Linked DNA regions of Caenorhabditis elegans. The protein of the gene in region 1 purifies or fractionates together with the protein of each later gene. This does not show direct contact. Each region holds a gene or a part of one and is shown on either strand. Other genes may lie near its edges.

The links. The genes of interacting proteins can lie anywhere in the genome.
Region 2: the proteins of F02E11.4 (region 1) and C05C9.3 fractionate together in Caenorhabditis elegans (co-fractionation; one large-scale study listed by BioGRID). This does not show direct contact.

The regions. Positions count from the first base shown.
Region 1 is NC_003280.10:3,274,341-3,281,573, forward strand, and holds F02E11.4 (Smr domain-containing protein), read right to left. Parts: upstream 3,447-7,233; 5' UTR 2,961-3,446; coding exon 2,883-2,960; intron 2,660-2,882; coding exon 2,473-2,659; intron 2,068-2,472; coding exon 1,916-2,067; 3' UTR 1,701-1,915; downstream 1-1,700. Other genes in the region: F02E11.3 (ORF56), read right to left, coding at 1-27, 74-151, 611-655; wht-4 (ABC transporter domain-containing protein), read left to right, coding at 4,647-4,700, 4,745-4,859, 5,109-5,218, 5,265-5,393, 5,446-5,613, 5,657-6,004, 6,211-6,323, 6,373-6,613 and 2 more.
Region 2 is NC_003284.9:11,148,627-11,156,607, forward strand, and holds the start of C05C9.3 (ULP_PROTEASE domain-containing protein), read right to left. Parts: upstream 4,195-7,981; 5' UTR 4,187-4,194; coding exon 4,123-4,186; intron 3,536-4,122; coding exon 3,393-3,535; intron 1,598-3,392; coding exon 1,483-1,597; intron 1,441-1,482; coding exon 1,308-1,440; intron 1,268-1,307; coding exon 1,183-1,267; intron 1,006-1,182; coding exon 811-1,005; intron 604-810; coding exon 321-603; intron 276-320; coding exon 1-275. Other genes in the region: C05C9.2 (uncharacterized protein), read left to right, coding at 4,440-4,542, 4,592-4,651, 4,694-4,749.

The DNA.
Region 1 (7,233 bases):
ATGACTCCGGTAGGTGGTCCCGGCTGGCTGGAATTTTAGGATTTGAATTTAAAAGAACACAAAATCAGATTACCGGAATTTCCCCATGACCCATATGGTTAATGATCGGGGAGGCATGAGAAACTCGGCGGCGACGGAAGAAACGACGCATCTGAAAATTAGGTAATTAGGCGGTAGGTAGGCATGCATGAGGAAGGTGATAGGCAGAAATGTTGGTGAGAAGGCATATGAAAGCGGTGGGGAGGGGGGTTACAGGCATATAAGCGGTATCTCGGCCTGTACGCCTTACGAAAAGCGGTGCAGGTAGACATGAGGAAATTAGTAGGCATAACTGAAGGCAGGCGATAGGCAGGCACGCAGTTATTAGAGATGCGGTGAGCAGGTAGGCGTGAGAAAAAGGAAGGTAATAGGCAGAAATGTAGGCGTGCAGATGATCGGCATGATCGGCTCATTAGAGATGCGTTAAGCAGGTAGGCATGAGGAAGAAGGTATGCATGACATCAGGAAGATAAGCAAGTGTTAGGTAGGCAATAGGCAGGACATGAAGAGGCGCGTAGGCATGCATGTAGGCAGGCAGGCATGGGAGGCATCTGTAAGTTTCTAAAAATACCTGTGAAAAGAAGCGACGAAGACCATTGGAAATCGGCATTTTCATGCAGCAACCTTTGGCAATTTAGGCACCTGTAACATAAGGAATGTGTTCAGAAAAAGTAACTTTCTGAGGACGGCAAATAATAAAAGAAAAACAGGCCTCACAGTCCCATAAAACGATAACGAGGAGCAGGCAACACGCTCACCACACGAGAGAGTATTGATCCAGTGGAGGTGGCCGGCGGCTCGCCGGACGAATATTCTGGGGTGCGCGCGGGGCCCCACCACCGTACAGATGGGTGACAATGGGATGTGAGGGGGTCACTGATAGAGTGATAGAGAAGTAGAGATGGAAGGGGGGGGGGGTTGTATGGCGGCAACGTGTGAAAGTAACATTGCCCCTAGTTTCCTTAGCTCTCCGGCAAGTATAGAATGATGTCATTTTGGAGAGGGAAACCTATGGCAAATCGGCAAATCGGCAACAACTCAAGTAGGCAATTCCTAAGACCCTGAACTAGGACTTCCATGAAGGCGCAGAAATGTCTGCCGCGCCTGCCTTCGTCTGCCTCACCGCGCCTTCTGCATAGTACAGTGCCGAAAACTGCCGGTCGCTGCGTGGCCGAAACACCATTAAAAGCCAGAATGCAGAACTTAGGCGATGAGGCAGGTAAATGCTAGTGCCTGAAAGCGCGCCTGCCTACTATGAAAAAAAATGCCAAAAACAAAGCACCCTGCCGAATCCCATTAAAAAGTGTTGTAGGGGGAAATGCAAATAAATGTACCGCCTGGTAAAGGACGATTGGCAAGGAAAATTGATCAGGAAACAAGGGGAGCTTTTTTTTCTGAAAAATGTCGAAAATGTGACTCAGAATTTTGTTTACCAGGCCGCTTCATAAGAATTTAATATTTCGAACTTCAATTAGAGATGGGAAAACTTACATAACATTTCACTGGTATGAGGTTTTGAAAAATAGATAACTAGTAAAATGTTAAGCTGAAAATTTGGCACATTTTCTCAGTTGACTTTTTTTTTGAAAAAAATTTGTATCTGCGGAGATAAAAGAGTTTTAAAATAGTTAGTTTGATAGAAGCGAGAAGTTTTGAATCTTAAAATTAATTTATTAATACAAAAAATAGATTATTAAATAAACAAATACATAGTTAATAACAAAATTGCTTTAAAATTAGAAAAAAATCCGTTTGAAGTTGCGCTACCCCGGCTCCAAGTATGGCTCCAAGTCCAAAATGGCTCCACAATTTTCTGGGGTCTTGGCTTCTCCTCGGGGACTCCAACGCAGTGTGCTCAGTTGAAATTATAAAAAAATCACCAAAGACTCAAAATTAGGACTCCTGGATTCAACTTGTCTTCGAAAATTTTACATCTTGACCGGCAATTGAATGTCCTCAGCAACTTGTTCTTGATCACCGGAATGTTGTCCTTCGAGTGATTTCCTCTTCCGGTTTCCAGCTTGATTTCTGAAAATAATTTGGATTTGAAAAAGTAGTTGAAATCTACACATTTTAACGTATTTACTCAAAATATGTCAGCGCTCTAGCTCAGTTCCTACAACTTTTAAAAGACTCCGTATCACAGCCCCGTGATCTGAGTCGCTACTCTGCCAATTTCCAAAAATTGAGCTAAAGAGCTGCAAATATCGGAATAAAAACAAAAAAGCGTGGGGATTAGGAATCTTAATATAAAAATTCATGAAAATTAAAATGAAAACATTTTTGAACTAGAATTGTTTGAATTTTTCAGCATTTTCAAAAGAGAAAAGAGAAAGGTTTTTGAATATTTCAAACGTTTCAAATTTGGCGTTTTTTTTTTGGTAAATTTCCTAGATTTTAGCTGATTTTTTTAAACAAAAATTGCAAACTCACTTCCATAAAATTGCATATTCTCAACTATGCCTAACACAAAACGTACAGCCCCATTGGTTGTCATTCCGTGTAGATCATAGTAGTCTTTGACCCTCAATCCATTCCGATTCCAATCTATCACTTTTTCGTTGATCGTTCTCTTCAGCTTTCCTAGAGCTCCTCTTTCCTTCATTTTACCGCACAGTTCCTGAAAAAATTACAGTTTTGTGAAAGTTTAGGCCTAAAAAATGCGAGAATTTTTTTGAAAAGTTTAAAGAAATTTTGAAAAATGGGTTTTTTTCAGCGCAAATATTTCAGAAAAAATTTCCAAAGAAAAAATTTAGCTGTAAATTTTTTGTTGTAAAACACAATAAGGTTTTTTCCTAAGTTTAAAGCAATGTAATTCAAAATTTTCTTTTTAAAAAACTCACATAAAGTGCCTGAATCTCCGCGTGATGTTTGGCCTTCATTCTCAAAAACTCGGCACTTTTGAAAATTATTTGCTGCATGATTATCGGAAAATTGATGAAATTTATTTGAAAATTGATTATTGAGGAGGAAGAAGCAATTTATAAAAATTATTAAGTTAAATATTAAATAAAAATATTAAGTTATTATATTTCTGTTGATTAAAAAATTGTATTAACTTCAAAAAATGATCAGAACTTTGAAAATGTTAATCAAAAATTTAAATGATTTATCGAAATAAATTTTCAATTTTGAAATTTACTTTAAATGGCGATAAATTTTTTTATTTAATGACATGTTGAAAAATGCCAAAAATGAAAATAAGAACCCTCGAAAATATTCATTTCTGATGGTTTTGGGGGTTTTGCCAAAAGTTTCACTCTTTTTTTTTTTAGTTATTTTAATACCTAGGGGCAATTTTGAACATTTTTATATTTTAAAACAATATAGTAGCTAACTAAAAAACACCAAAACCAAAAAAAAAGAGCCTACAATAATGTAACCACCTCCTTCTAATCGACTAGATATATCCACATGTCCTGTAGCGTTCTACGTGTGTCGAGCACTGTTTCAGATCGATACCCCCACTTCTGTAAGTCAACGTCCGTTATTGTTTTGATTTACAACTCTCCCCCCCCCCCTTAGAGAAAGGAGGCTATGTTTTAGTGTGAAGATGGCCTCAACTGGAAGGGGGTCTCGAGCAAGATTTTTGAGCGGAAAGGCCGAATGGTATACTTGAAGAAAGCATACCGCTAACGTTCAGATGTACCAAGTTTTTTAGCGGAAGGGGTCTTAAAGGAGGAGTAGTGGGTGTAGAGGTAGTTACGGAGAAGTTTATACTTGTAGAGGTATCAAAAAGAAAACCGGGAAAATTTGAAAACGGAATAAAAAAATTATTGAAAAGTTACTTAAATTATTTATTCAATTTTCAAATTTGTATAATTTTTTTTTCAAATTTTTATTTTATTTAAATTATTTCAAATACCAGCGCAAATTTTTGTCGGCCTAGAATTTTTTGGGTGAAAAAGTAATTTAAGGAACAATGTTCAAGCTATTTTTCGTATGGAAAATTCCAGTTTTTTTTTGCGAATTCAGGGGGAAAAAAATGTTTAAAAAAAACCAAAAATTTATGAATTTTTAAAGAATTTTTGAAGATTTTTACTTCAGAAAAAAATCAATCTATTAATTGCTAAATTCACAAAGTAGCGATCTAGAAATGCGGTCTGATACATTTTTTTTTTTGAAGAATTGTGGTAATTTATTTGGTAAATAGCTGACTTCAAATTTTCAGGCCTATTTTGAAGACTACTTTTCAATATTTGAAATTTTAAAGCTACCCAAAAGCCAGCATTTGGATTTCTAAAAGTTTGAAATTTTCACAAAATTCGATTAAAACATTTCACTACATTTGCAGCTCTTTAGCTCAATTTTGATTTTTTTTTTTCGCAGAGTAACGACTCAAAGAATGGTAGCTGTGATACGGAGTTTTTTGAAAACCGTGAAAATTTAATTTGCAAACAATTTTGCAAATTAAAATACAAATAAAAATATCTTCATTCTTCACGTGAATTGTATCACAATATTCACAAAATTTCAAAGTTGAAAAAAAAATAAAATCCACGTCATTTCACTTCCCTCCCCTATCCAACTCATTCAAAAATTTATTTCCGATTTGTAAGAATTTCAAAAATTCTTCTCGAATATTTGTATTTGATTTCTGTGAAATAATGCAAAGTTTGACGACGGCTTCGATGCGAGATGCGACGAGTAAGAGTACGATGGTAAGCTAGCAGGTACAGTAACCCAAACTACGTTTTGTATTTAGATTACTGTAGACACTGGCGATGGTAGCGAGAAGGGAAGGAAGACTATTGCCTGGAGTGGGCTGGTGGCGACGGTTCCGCAAGCCGGTGGTGGCAGGAAGGAGGTGATCAGGAATGGTAAGAGTGTCTAGATGTCTTCGCTCTCTCAACATGCTGCACTGTTTCTCGAAGCAAGAACTTTCTCGAAATGTCGTGGCTTGGACACGTGGCGACAAGTAAACGCAGAGAAGCTAGAGTGTCTAGCTGTCTGCGCTCTCTCCACATGCTACGATGTCTCAGGATACTCTGTACTCTTTTGTGTAGACGCAGACAAGCCAGAGTGTCTCGCTGTCTGCGCTCTCCCCACCTCATCTTATCAAATTTCAGTTAGCGGTGTCGCGGAGCCCGGCGAAGTTCTCGCCTTGATGGGAGGGAGTGGTGCCGGTAAGACGACTCTGATGAATATCCTGGCCCATTTGGATACTAACGGAGTTGAGGTGAGCCCAGCTCCCCGAGCTACCTATCATTTTCTCGATTTTTCAGTACCTCGGCGACGTCACTGTCAATGGCAAGAAGATCACCAAGCAGAAAATGCGGCAAATGTGCGCCTACGTTCAGCAGGTTGACCTGTTCTGTGGAACCTTGACGGTCCGGGAGCAGCTGACTTATACGGTTGGTTAGAAGCTAGAAGAAGCTGTTAACTAGTCCTGAATATAATGTTCAGGCTCACATGAGAATGAAGAACGCGACAGTGCAGCAGAAGATGGAGAGAGTGGAGAATGTGCTGAGGGATATGAACCTGACTGATTGTCAGAATACCTTGATTGGCATTCCGAACCGTATGAAAGGGATTTCCATCGGAGAGAAGAAGCGTCTGGCGTTTGCTTGCGAGGTTTGCAGTGATCCAAAGTCCACCTACAACTTTCAACATACAGATCCTCACCGACCCGAAGATCCTGTTCTGCGACGAGCCCACCTCTGGACTCGACGCCTTCATGGCCTCCGAAGTTGTGCGCGCCCTGCTCGACCTGGCTAACAAGGGAAAAACGATCATCGTCGTGCTCCATCAACCGTCGAGTACCGTGTTCCGCATGTTCCACAAAGTTTGCTTCATGGCCACCGGGAAGACGGTCTACCATGGCGCCGTAGATCGACTGTGTCCGTTTTTCGATAAGCTTGGGCCAGATTTCCGTGTCCCCGAAAGCTATAATCCCGCGGATTTTGTGATGTCGGAGATTTCGATCAGTCCGGAGACCGAGCAGGAGGATGTCACGAGAATTGAGGTAACAATTAGGCTTAGGATTAGGCTTCGGCTTAGGCTTAGGCTTCGGCTTAGAATTAGGCTCAGGCTCCGGCTCAGGGTCACGGTCAGGTTCGGGGTCAGGCTTAGGCTTAGGCTTAGGCTTAAACGTAGGCTTGGGCTTTGTCTTAGGCTTAGGCTCAGGCTGAAACTTAGGCTTACAGCATTAACGAAATGAAAACTTTTCAGTACCTGATCCACGAATATCAGAACAGTGACATCGGTACCCAGATGCTCAAGAAGACAAGAACAGCCGTGGACGAATTTGGAGGATATGGTGACGATGAAGATGATGGGGAGAGGTTTGTTCTTCCTTACTCGTTTTTAAAGTTCTTAAGCTTAAAATTTCAGCCGCTACAACTCCACCTTCGGCACCCAGTTTGAGATCCTGCTCAAGCGATCACTGAGAACAACGTTCCGTGATCCACTGCTGCTTCGTGTTAGATTTGCGCAGATCTTGGCCACCGCAATCCTGGTTGGAATTGTGAATTGGCGCGTCGAGCTGAAAGGCCCCACGATTCAAAATTTGGAGGGTGTCATGTACAATTGTGCTCGCGACATGACTTTTTTGTTCTACTTCCCGTCGGTCAATGTAGGTTTTCTAAAATAAAGGTCCTAATCAAGATTCTTTCAGGTGATCACCTCAGAGCTCCCGGTCTTCCTTCGCGAGCACAAGTCGAACATTTACTCTGTGGAAGCTTATTTCCTTGCAAAAAGCCTTGCTGAACTCCCCCAATATACGATTCTCCCGATGATCTATGGCACGATTATATACTGGATGGCCGGACTGGTTGCCTCGGTGACCAGCTTCTTGGTTTTTGTATTCGTTTGTATCACGCTGACCTGGGTCGCTGTGTCGATTGGTAGCTAACTTCGCCTGAGCCTGAAAGCCTCATTTTTCATTTTTCAGCCTACGTTGGAGCTTGCATCTTTGGTGACGAAGGACTCGTGGTGACTTTCATGCCGATGTTCGTGCTTCCGATGCTCGTCTTTGGAGGATTCTACGTAAACGCCAACTCAATTCCTGTCTACTACCAATACGTTTCCTTCGTCTCCTGGTTCAAGCACGGATTCGAAGCTCTCGAAGCCAACCAGTGGAAGGAGATTGATAAGATTTCTGGCTGCGACCTAATCAATCCATTGAATGCGACAACAACTGGCTACTGCCCAGCATCCGATGGTCCTGGCATTTTGACACGTCGTGGAATTGAT
Region 2 (7,981 bases), on another chromosome or scaffold:
AAACGCCCAAACATTGAGATCGCATTCTTCTTCATCTTCTGCACTTTGTCGTTTTGTGTTAGTTTTGTCCTCCTGGATGTTGCCAATATCATCATCGTCATCGATTACTACAACTTCTATTGAATTCGAAACGTTTTGTGCTTTACCACGAGTGATTATGACGTCGCGTTCCTCTTTAGCGGGACAACGAGTTTTTGGCTTTTTCCTCAAAGTCTCGTAAAGATCTTCGATCTTAGGTAGAGTTCTTTTTTCTGCGGCTTTTCGGATTTTTGGATCTGAAAATATGTGTTGTTCGGCATTAAAGTCAGTCAACTACTCACTTTTAACCATATCCCGAAAAAAATTCGCGCAAGCTACAAGGAGGAGATGTTTATGTGGGAAGCATCCCCAACAGAGGAAACCTGATGGCGATTTGTAGATGAAGTGTTCTTGAATGTGCATAAAAATTCCCATGTTGTTTTTGCAAATGCAACTTAACGTGTTTGTTGACATTGATTCCACTTCCCAATAATACTGATCCCACTTTTTGAAATGCTTTTTTCCAATACATGGCAATATAATTTGCGGAAAATGATACAGCAGTACAATCGCCCTTTCAGAGTCCTGTAAATTCATAAAACATGAGTGTGTGGGTTATTTGCTTTGACTACAATTGGCTCTAAACGACCGAAATTAAGCTATAGTCTAAATTTTTTTTAAAGCTTTTCATTCTGTCCGAAATTTAATCTTCAAAAAAATAATAAACCTAGTCATTACAGGATTTTTCCTTGTTATGTACGACAATCGAAACATCAGTATTTTATTACTCACAAATGATGCGTAGTCCTCTTCTTCAACAAGCAATGGTTCAATTGTAGCTTTGGAAAGTGGATAATCACGTTCAGGAACTATATGCTTTTTGATGATAAATGGCTTAAAAGCTGCATCGACTCCGTAATAACAATCTTCGCGTGATTTTGTCCATGAGTATCTCGATAGTGCCAGTTTGTTGTTTCGACCAAAATGCTGAATGTTCTCAGCTCGGGAAATTCTCACATTTTTTATGTATTTATGAAAGTGTGTAAAAAGCTAGATCTAAATCAAAATTTTGTACTGGCGTTTAAATGTGATTCAGTATTCTGAGACTTACTTTAGGTTTTATTTACAGTGTGTTACATTTACTCCATTAAAAGAAATACTTACCGGGCGCCCCATATTCAACAACCTTAATAACGTTTTAATCCGAATAACGCCACTTATTGAAGGGGAAAACAGTTTCGTTGCATATCTGGAAACTATACACGTTTTTAAAATAACCCAATGATTACCGAAATAAAGTTGATGCTAAAACATGCGTCTCATCTCCCAACGTGAAAAGAGGGATTAAGTCCCAAAATGTTTCTTGTGGATGGTCAAAGTATACACCAAGTTTTGCAATTACAGATTTGAATTTCCTATCGTCTGCAAAATGGATTTAGCCGAGTTTTGAAACATTTTGTTTACCTGCAGATTGTATCATAGAAAAGAATTGGCGAGAAGTCATTGTACAAAATTCCGGAATCATTGTAAGATTGTAGAAGCATTCAGGGGTGTCGACTGGGAGCTCATTTTTGTTTAACTGAAAATTCTTCTACTTTCGAATATTCTAGATCTGGTATAAAAAGTAAGAGCCTAGTTGGATTTGTAATGATAGAAGAACTAACTTTTTTAGTGCCATAAACTTCCAGTTCAATCAAAAAAACTGACCTTCAGACAGAATGGCCCTTTTTTTTGGAGATTTGTTTGATTATCATAACTTTCAGAATTTAAATGCAAAATTTTTCTAAGTGCCAAAAGCTTCCAGTTCAATCATAAAAACTGACCTTCAGACATATAAATGACCTCTTTTTTTTTGGGAGATTTACAAAGTTTTCATGATTCTAAAAATCAATATCTGACTTGAAATGAACTTTTTTGGAAATGTTTCTTCGGGGACTTGTTTGAAATTTTTAGCGTTTTTCAGAATTTAAATGCAAATTTTTTCTAGGTGCCAAAAGCTTCCAGTTCAATCAAAAAAATTGACCTTTCAGGCATATAAATGACCCCTTTTTTTTGGGAGATTTACTAAGTATTCATGATTCTAAAAATCAATATCTTACTTGAAATGAACTTTTTTGGAAATGTTTCTTCGGGGACTTGTTTGAAATTTTTAGCGTTTTTCAGAATTTAAATGCAAATTTTTTCTAGGTGCCAAAAGCTTCCAGTTCAATCAAAAAAATTGACCTTTCAGGCATATAAATGACCCCTTTTTTATACTGAGATTTATTTAGTTTTCATAATTTTAAAATTAATATCTCCCCACTAACCATTCACCAATAACCCTTCATAAGCCAAAACTCCGCAGACTACAAAGACTACATAGACTACAAACTATGGACAGACGAACTGTATTTTTTATATATAAGTCTCCCTTTTTTTTGGAGATTTGTTTAATTATCATAACTTTTAAAATTAATATCTTACTTAAAATGAACTTTTTTGAAAAAAAAATGATTGTTGGTCGCTAAAAACAAAAAACTATTTTATTTTAATAAAATAAATACATTTGTTCTTCTAATGAAAAACCTATATTTCTTCATTTTTATTTTTAGAAAAGTTTCAAAAGTTTACGAAGGAGATGATTATTTCTGGGTATTTCTCAAAGAATTTGGTAAACATTTTTTCACAACAAGGGCGCTTGAGAATTGAAGATTTTGTTAATTGCTGTAACTTAACAATGTTTTACTTTTTTTTTTTTTGGCTATGTTAGTGCGATAATAATATAGCTTCAAAACGCCCGCAAAAACTTAACGTGCTGAATTTCTCATCAATGCAAAAACTCGTTGTTTACTCGTTGTCATTGTTAAATATTTAACTCATTCATGTCCGGAATTATAACATTTTTGAATTTTGCATGATTAATAATTTTTGATGCTTAAAGTTTGAATTTCAAAGAAATTATTCAGCAATCTTTAAGAATCACTTTTGCTAGTCACGTTCTATCCGTTTTTCTCTGTTATGCATTATGTATAGTCTTCTTTTGAACTAAATCTTCAATTTCGAGAATCTTTGTTGCTAATCCATCCTTTGAAAGGTTTCTCTTCAGCTATAATTACATCACCCTCTTCTTTCTATCATTATCTTTCACTTCATCTCCTACTCTCCTTTCGAAATATTTCTATACCAATTCTTAGGCTCCAGGCAACAAATACTCAGCAGTCGTTGGTTGAGAGAAAACTAACATGTGCATTATTTTTCAAAATGAAGTCTAGCATTATATGTTTTTAATGAAGCCGCAACGCTGCCTACAACCCTACTTTTTATTATCCAAAAAATTAAAAATTTATGTTAAGCAGTACTTTTCTCATGTTCTATACTGTGTACAAAAAATTCACCTGCACTGGATCCGACAAATAATCGATTCGGTCATGATACTCATCTTGGTCCAAAAAGTTTAATAATCTGCCCAGCTTTTCTATTTGTTCAGGAGACTTAAGCGTTTTTGCTTTATCCAGATACCACTTGCTTTGTATACACTCTATAAAATTAAAAATTGAAACGTTTTCAAACTCAAAGTTCAAAGTTTCAGAGTACTTTTTTTTCAAAGACAATTTAAAATATATCCACTTGTTCATCCATCTTTTTCATCTTTTGTATTTTTCTCTTTTTTTCCTTTTTTTTCAAGTAAACATGATTTTTTTTTGAATAATTTTCAATCACTGTATACGATGTTGAAGAACTAGGTTAGTTTCCAAAAAATACTACTGAGCTCAGCCGAGAGGATTCGTTAAATAATTAATGTACTGTGCGAATAGAATTTTAGAATCAAATCTTTAGAAAACAAATGTTCGAAATATAATAATTAGATTTGAATGAGATTTGGTTCAAATTTATTACATTTTTAAATCATGTTGGACAAAGAAAATTTGCCAAACCTAGCTAAATCTCGGGACACTAATAAATGTTTAAAATGATTCATTAAATACTATTCTAAAACTTTTTGGAAACCATCGAAAAATGATATTTACTTATATTTTTTAAGAGAAAAAAAACATTTCAGCAAAAGGGTTCAATTGTTTTACAAAGTAGTTTACTTTTTCTTTTTTGTAGGAATTAATAACGTACTGTCATAAAGAGTCAAACGATGATTTTCTTCGTTGTCTGAAGTTGAAGTTTCGAGGTCCTCCATTTTCGAAACTATAATTATTAAATTAATGTCAAATTTCAAATGACAGCAGAACAATTAAGTGGTACGTTGGTTACCGTTATAAGTAAACATAAAAAAATCACACGTATCTAGAAAAGGTTACACTGTTGCCCTTAGTTACCCGTGACGATGCCTTCACACTTTTATTTATCACACCCTCTTTTTTTTTTGCGTTTTTGGTCACTCTTGCTTTCGGTGCGAGCATCATTTATGACTTCACTCTCTTTTTTTCAGCATGTATCGCGAAATGCTTCATCAGGGAATTCAGTTATACTGCGAGATTTGGCCGTGCGATCGAGAATGTGGAAAGTTTCACGAAAGGTTCATAAACACAACAAGTAAGATCAAAATAATTTGCGAGTTTCTGAATTTAATAACAAAATTGAGAATTGAGAAGAATGAAAACAATGTCAGAATCAGTGGATCATCAAATACCAATGACAAATGGTGAGTGAGAAAAAACACAACGAAAAATTATTATTCTTTAAGGAAAATCGAAAACAAAAGGAGTTTTCGAGGAAATAATGGAGATGGCAGCAAGAAAGGTGAATATTTTTACATATTTCAAATTATTGAGAATCTTGAATTAGAAATGGTCATCAAATAAAATATTTTCTGTGTGAGACATATCAGAAAAATCCTGCATCAGGTCAACTTGAACTTGGCAATTAAACTGAAGCTTCTAGGTTTTTTAATAATAATTTTTTCAAACTGAATTGGAACGATAATTTTGATGAAATTAGAAAAATAAAGTAAAATTATATATACATATAAAAAAAATACATAGAAAATTTTTTTATTTTTCAAACACGCGTATTCAAAGAATTTCTCAAAATGATTTCCAGAAGTTTCAAAAAATTATGACTCGGATTTCTGTACTGACGTCGCACAATAAGATTCGTGTGACGTCACTTTTTAAAAAGATTAATAAATATATACACCGATGTTTTTTTTAAACGGTATCTTATTTGAAAACTGGGAGGTTAACTAATTCAGGGTCTGACAATTACACACAATATTTCAATTTTCCGCAAAATTTTGTTAGACGTTCCTCTGGCTAGGTTTTCCCCGTAATCAAAAAATTAACCATCAAAACAAATTATAATAATTCTACGATTTTGTCTAGCAAAGTTTTGATGCGCAAGTCGTAGAAACCGGTAAAGATCCCTATCTTCGCGCCTACAATCAATGTGCAACACTTCGAAAAACTTCCAGTTTCCCAGAAGATAAAAATTCGTTATTGGTTTGCAGTAAAGTATTTTGTGCCTGGATAGAAGCTACTTTGTTTGATCTTTCTGATTTTTCTCATTAATCAGTTACGTTACGTTAGTTTATGGTCGCTGGTTCTCAGACTTTCTGTCTCTACAAAACGCTGAAACAATATTTTTTGCCACTTTGCACATTTTTGTTGTTAGTATTTTTTGAATTTGATAAGAGGATTTCAAGCAAGTGCTCTTTCCAAGGATTTATAAAAGAGAGTGTGTAGAGAACAGAATAAGCAAAGAGGTTTACGCAATATAATGAAAAAGTATCGCGGCTTTCGTACTTAACTAATAGTCATTCATGATAGAATTTGTGCAAGGTATGTAAAAGATCGATAAGATAAAACGTGAGAAAAAACTCAAAAGTAACCTATGGACAGAAAACGTCAGGTTCTCCCTTTTTTGTTGCACAAATCACAAAATTCAAAAAAGTTGTTTTTTGTCCTTCATTGGATGAGTGAGCTACTGTATACATTAGAAACTTATTATCAAAAGGCAATAAAATTATGCAAGAGGTTATATTTGCACGGTTATAGAAAATTTCCTGTTAGCAACTCGGAGGGCAAAAAATAATATATACACACAATTTTTACGACTTACGAACACGAGGCCGGAATTTAAATACGTGTAGAAGATCTACAGCAACACAGCAGCTAATCTTACTCTCACTCGTAACTATCAGTAGAGCATTCTGCTGTCAATTGGGCTCCAACAGCGCCACAGTCAGAAGAGGGGAAGGGTAGAAGACCGGCGACCAGGGCAATGGCTGCGACGGCGGTCGCGCTCGGAGCCAAGACGAGAATATGAAGGAAGGAGCCTGTTGTGAGGTGTATGTGAAAGAAGGAAGGAGGCGGGCAACATCCTACCGGTGGTCGGTAGGAGTGATTGTATGACGTTGGAAAACCAAAATAAAGAAGAAGAAATGCCAAAGAGGGTTGTTCGATAATACTGGAAACTTGTGATATTGTGATAACGATGGAAGCTTTGATAAACAGTGGCTCGATCTAGCATGAGCAGCATGAGCAGAAGACAATGAAACCAATTCCTTATCGTTTTCAATAGAGGCAGAGAAGAAACCTTTGATGATATAGATGCACACATTCTTGCGTAGAGTTTCTACGGTATGATACTTCAATCTTCAAATGTTCGTACACCTCTGTACCAATTTAATACGTGTTTAGAATGAGAACGTTTCAAGGTAGGGCTGGAGAAATAAAGGAGTCTCACTGCTGTTCTCAAAAATCGCCCCTTCTTTTCGACATTGAAACATATTAATGCAACGAATATATATTCCCCATGTTATTTCTTATAATGTGGTTTCCGTTTCATAGTTTCCCATCTTTCCCCTTTTTCAATCTGTGTGCATGTTGAGGAGAACAACAGAAAGAGCGACACACGGAAATCAATGCGATGCAGCCATCCCTTTTTTGACCAGAGGAGTACGCGATGAGGGGAAACGGGACAGCGCGCCCGTGTTAAATTAGAAGTTGCGAGGAGCTATGAAGTTGACAACGCCAGCGCCATAGACCGAAACGTCTATAATTTCTGATTGGATAGCCAACGTGAAGAAGAGGGATAGTTGTCTTTCTCCGTTTTTCTCCTTGGGAATATCAATGTAAATCAGAAAGACGAGATTTGGAAAAGTGAATTGGGCGAAAAAAAAGAAAGAGAGAGAAAGATGACGAGCAAAAATATGAAATCGAAGGGAAAAGTGAATGCATACCGTTGTGATTGCTTTGGGCGCGAAAGAACAGAGAGTGCAATGCCATTACATAAAATACAAGCCTCTTTCATTTTAATGAAAAAAGATTGTCATGGCAATGTCAATTTGAATGAAGATAGACGATTCAAATTCAATCAAAATGCCAAAATTAAGGTTTGGGGATTTCACAAAATTTATATTTAATTCCATAATTCCAAAAATTGCACTAATTTTACTTCAATGAAAAAACAAGTAGCTTTTGTTTCCCACTGTTGTTCACTTCTCGAGCTGAAGAGTTTGTTTGTGTAGTTTGTAAGATATCGAAAAGTCTAACAAAACATGCCTGTACAACTTAACTGTTAAGAACTGCTTCACACATTACACTGCGTCCAAATACCATTTGCCATTTGCTAAGTGTGTAATGTTAAACGAAAAGAGTTAGTCTCAAAAAGGGCACACGACAAGTGGGGTGAAGAAGGTACTATGTGATAAGAAACCAATGAAGTATTTGCAAAATGAGTAATGTTAAGGGTGATGATGTGGCTAAAACATAATTAGGTGTTGTTCATAACCAAGGCTCAGGGTTGTGCGGCAACCAGATCGGCAACTGCACAAAACGGCTTATCTCGGTATAGTAATCCTACTTTTTGAAACAAAAATTAAAATAGAAACGTTGTAAAGTGTTTGATTGATTTGAAATTGAATCTTTTTTTTGTTAAAAAGTACCAAATACCGGTAAGTTCGGCGGCCGGCAACCTCTAGGCCTCTATGTGAAGTCCTGCAAAAATTTTTCAGCGAGAATAAGTTTTATTT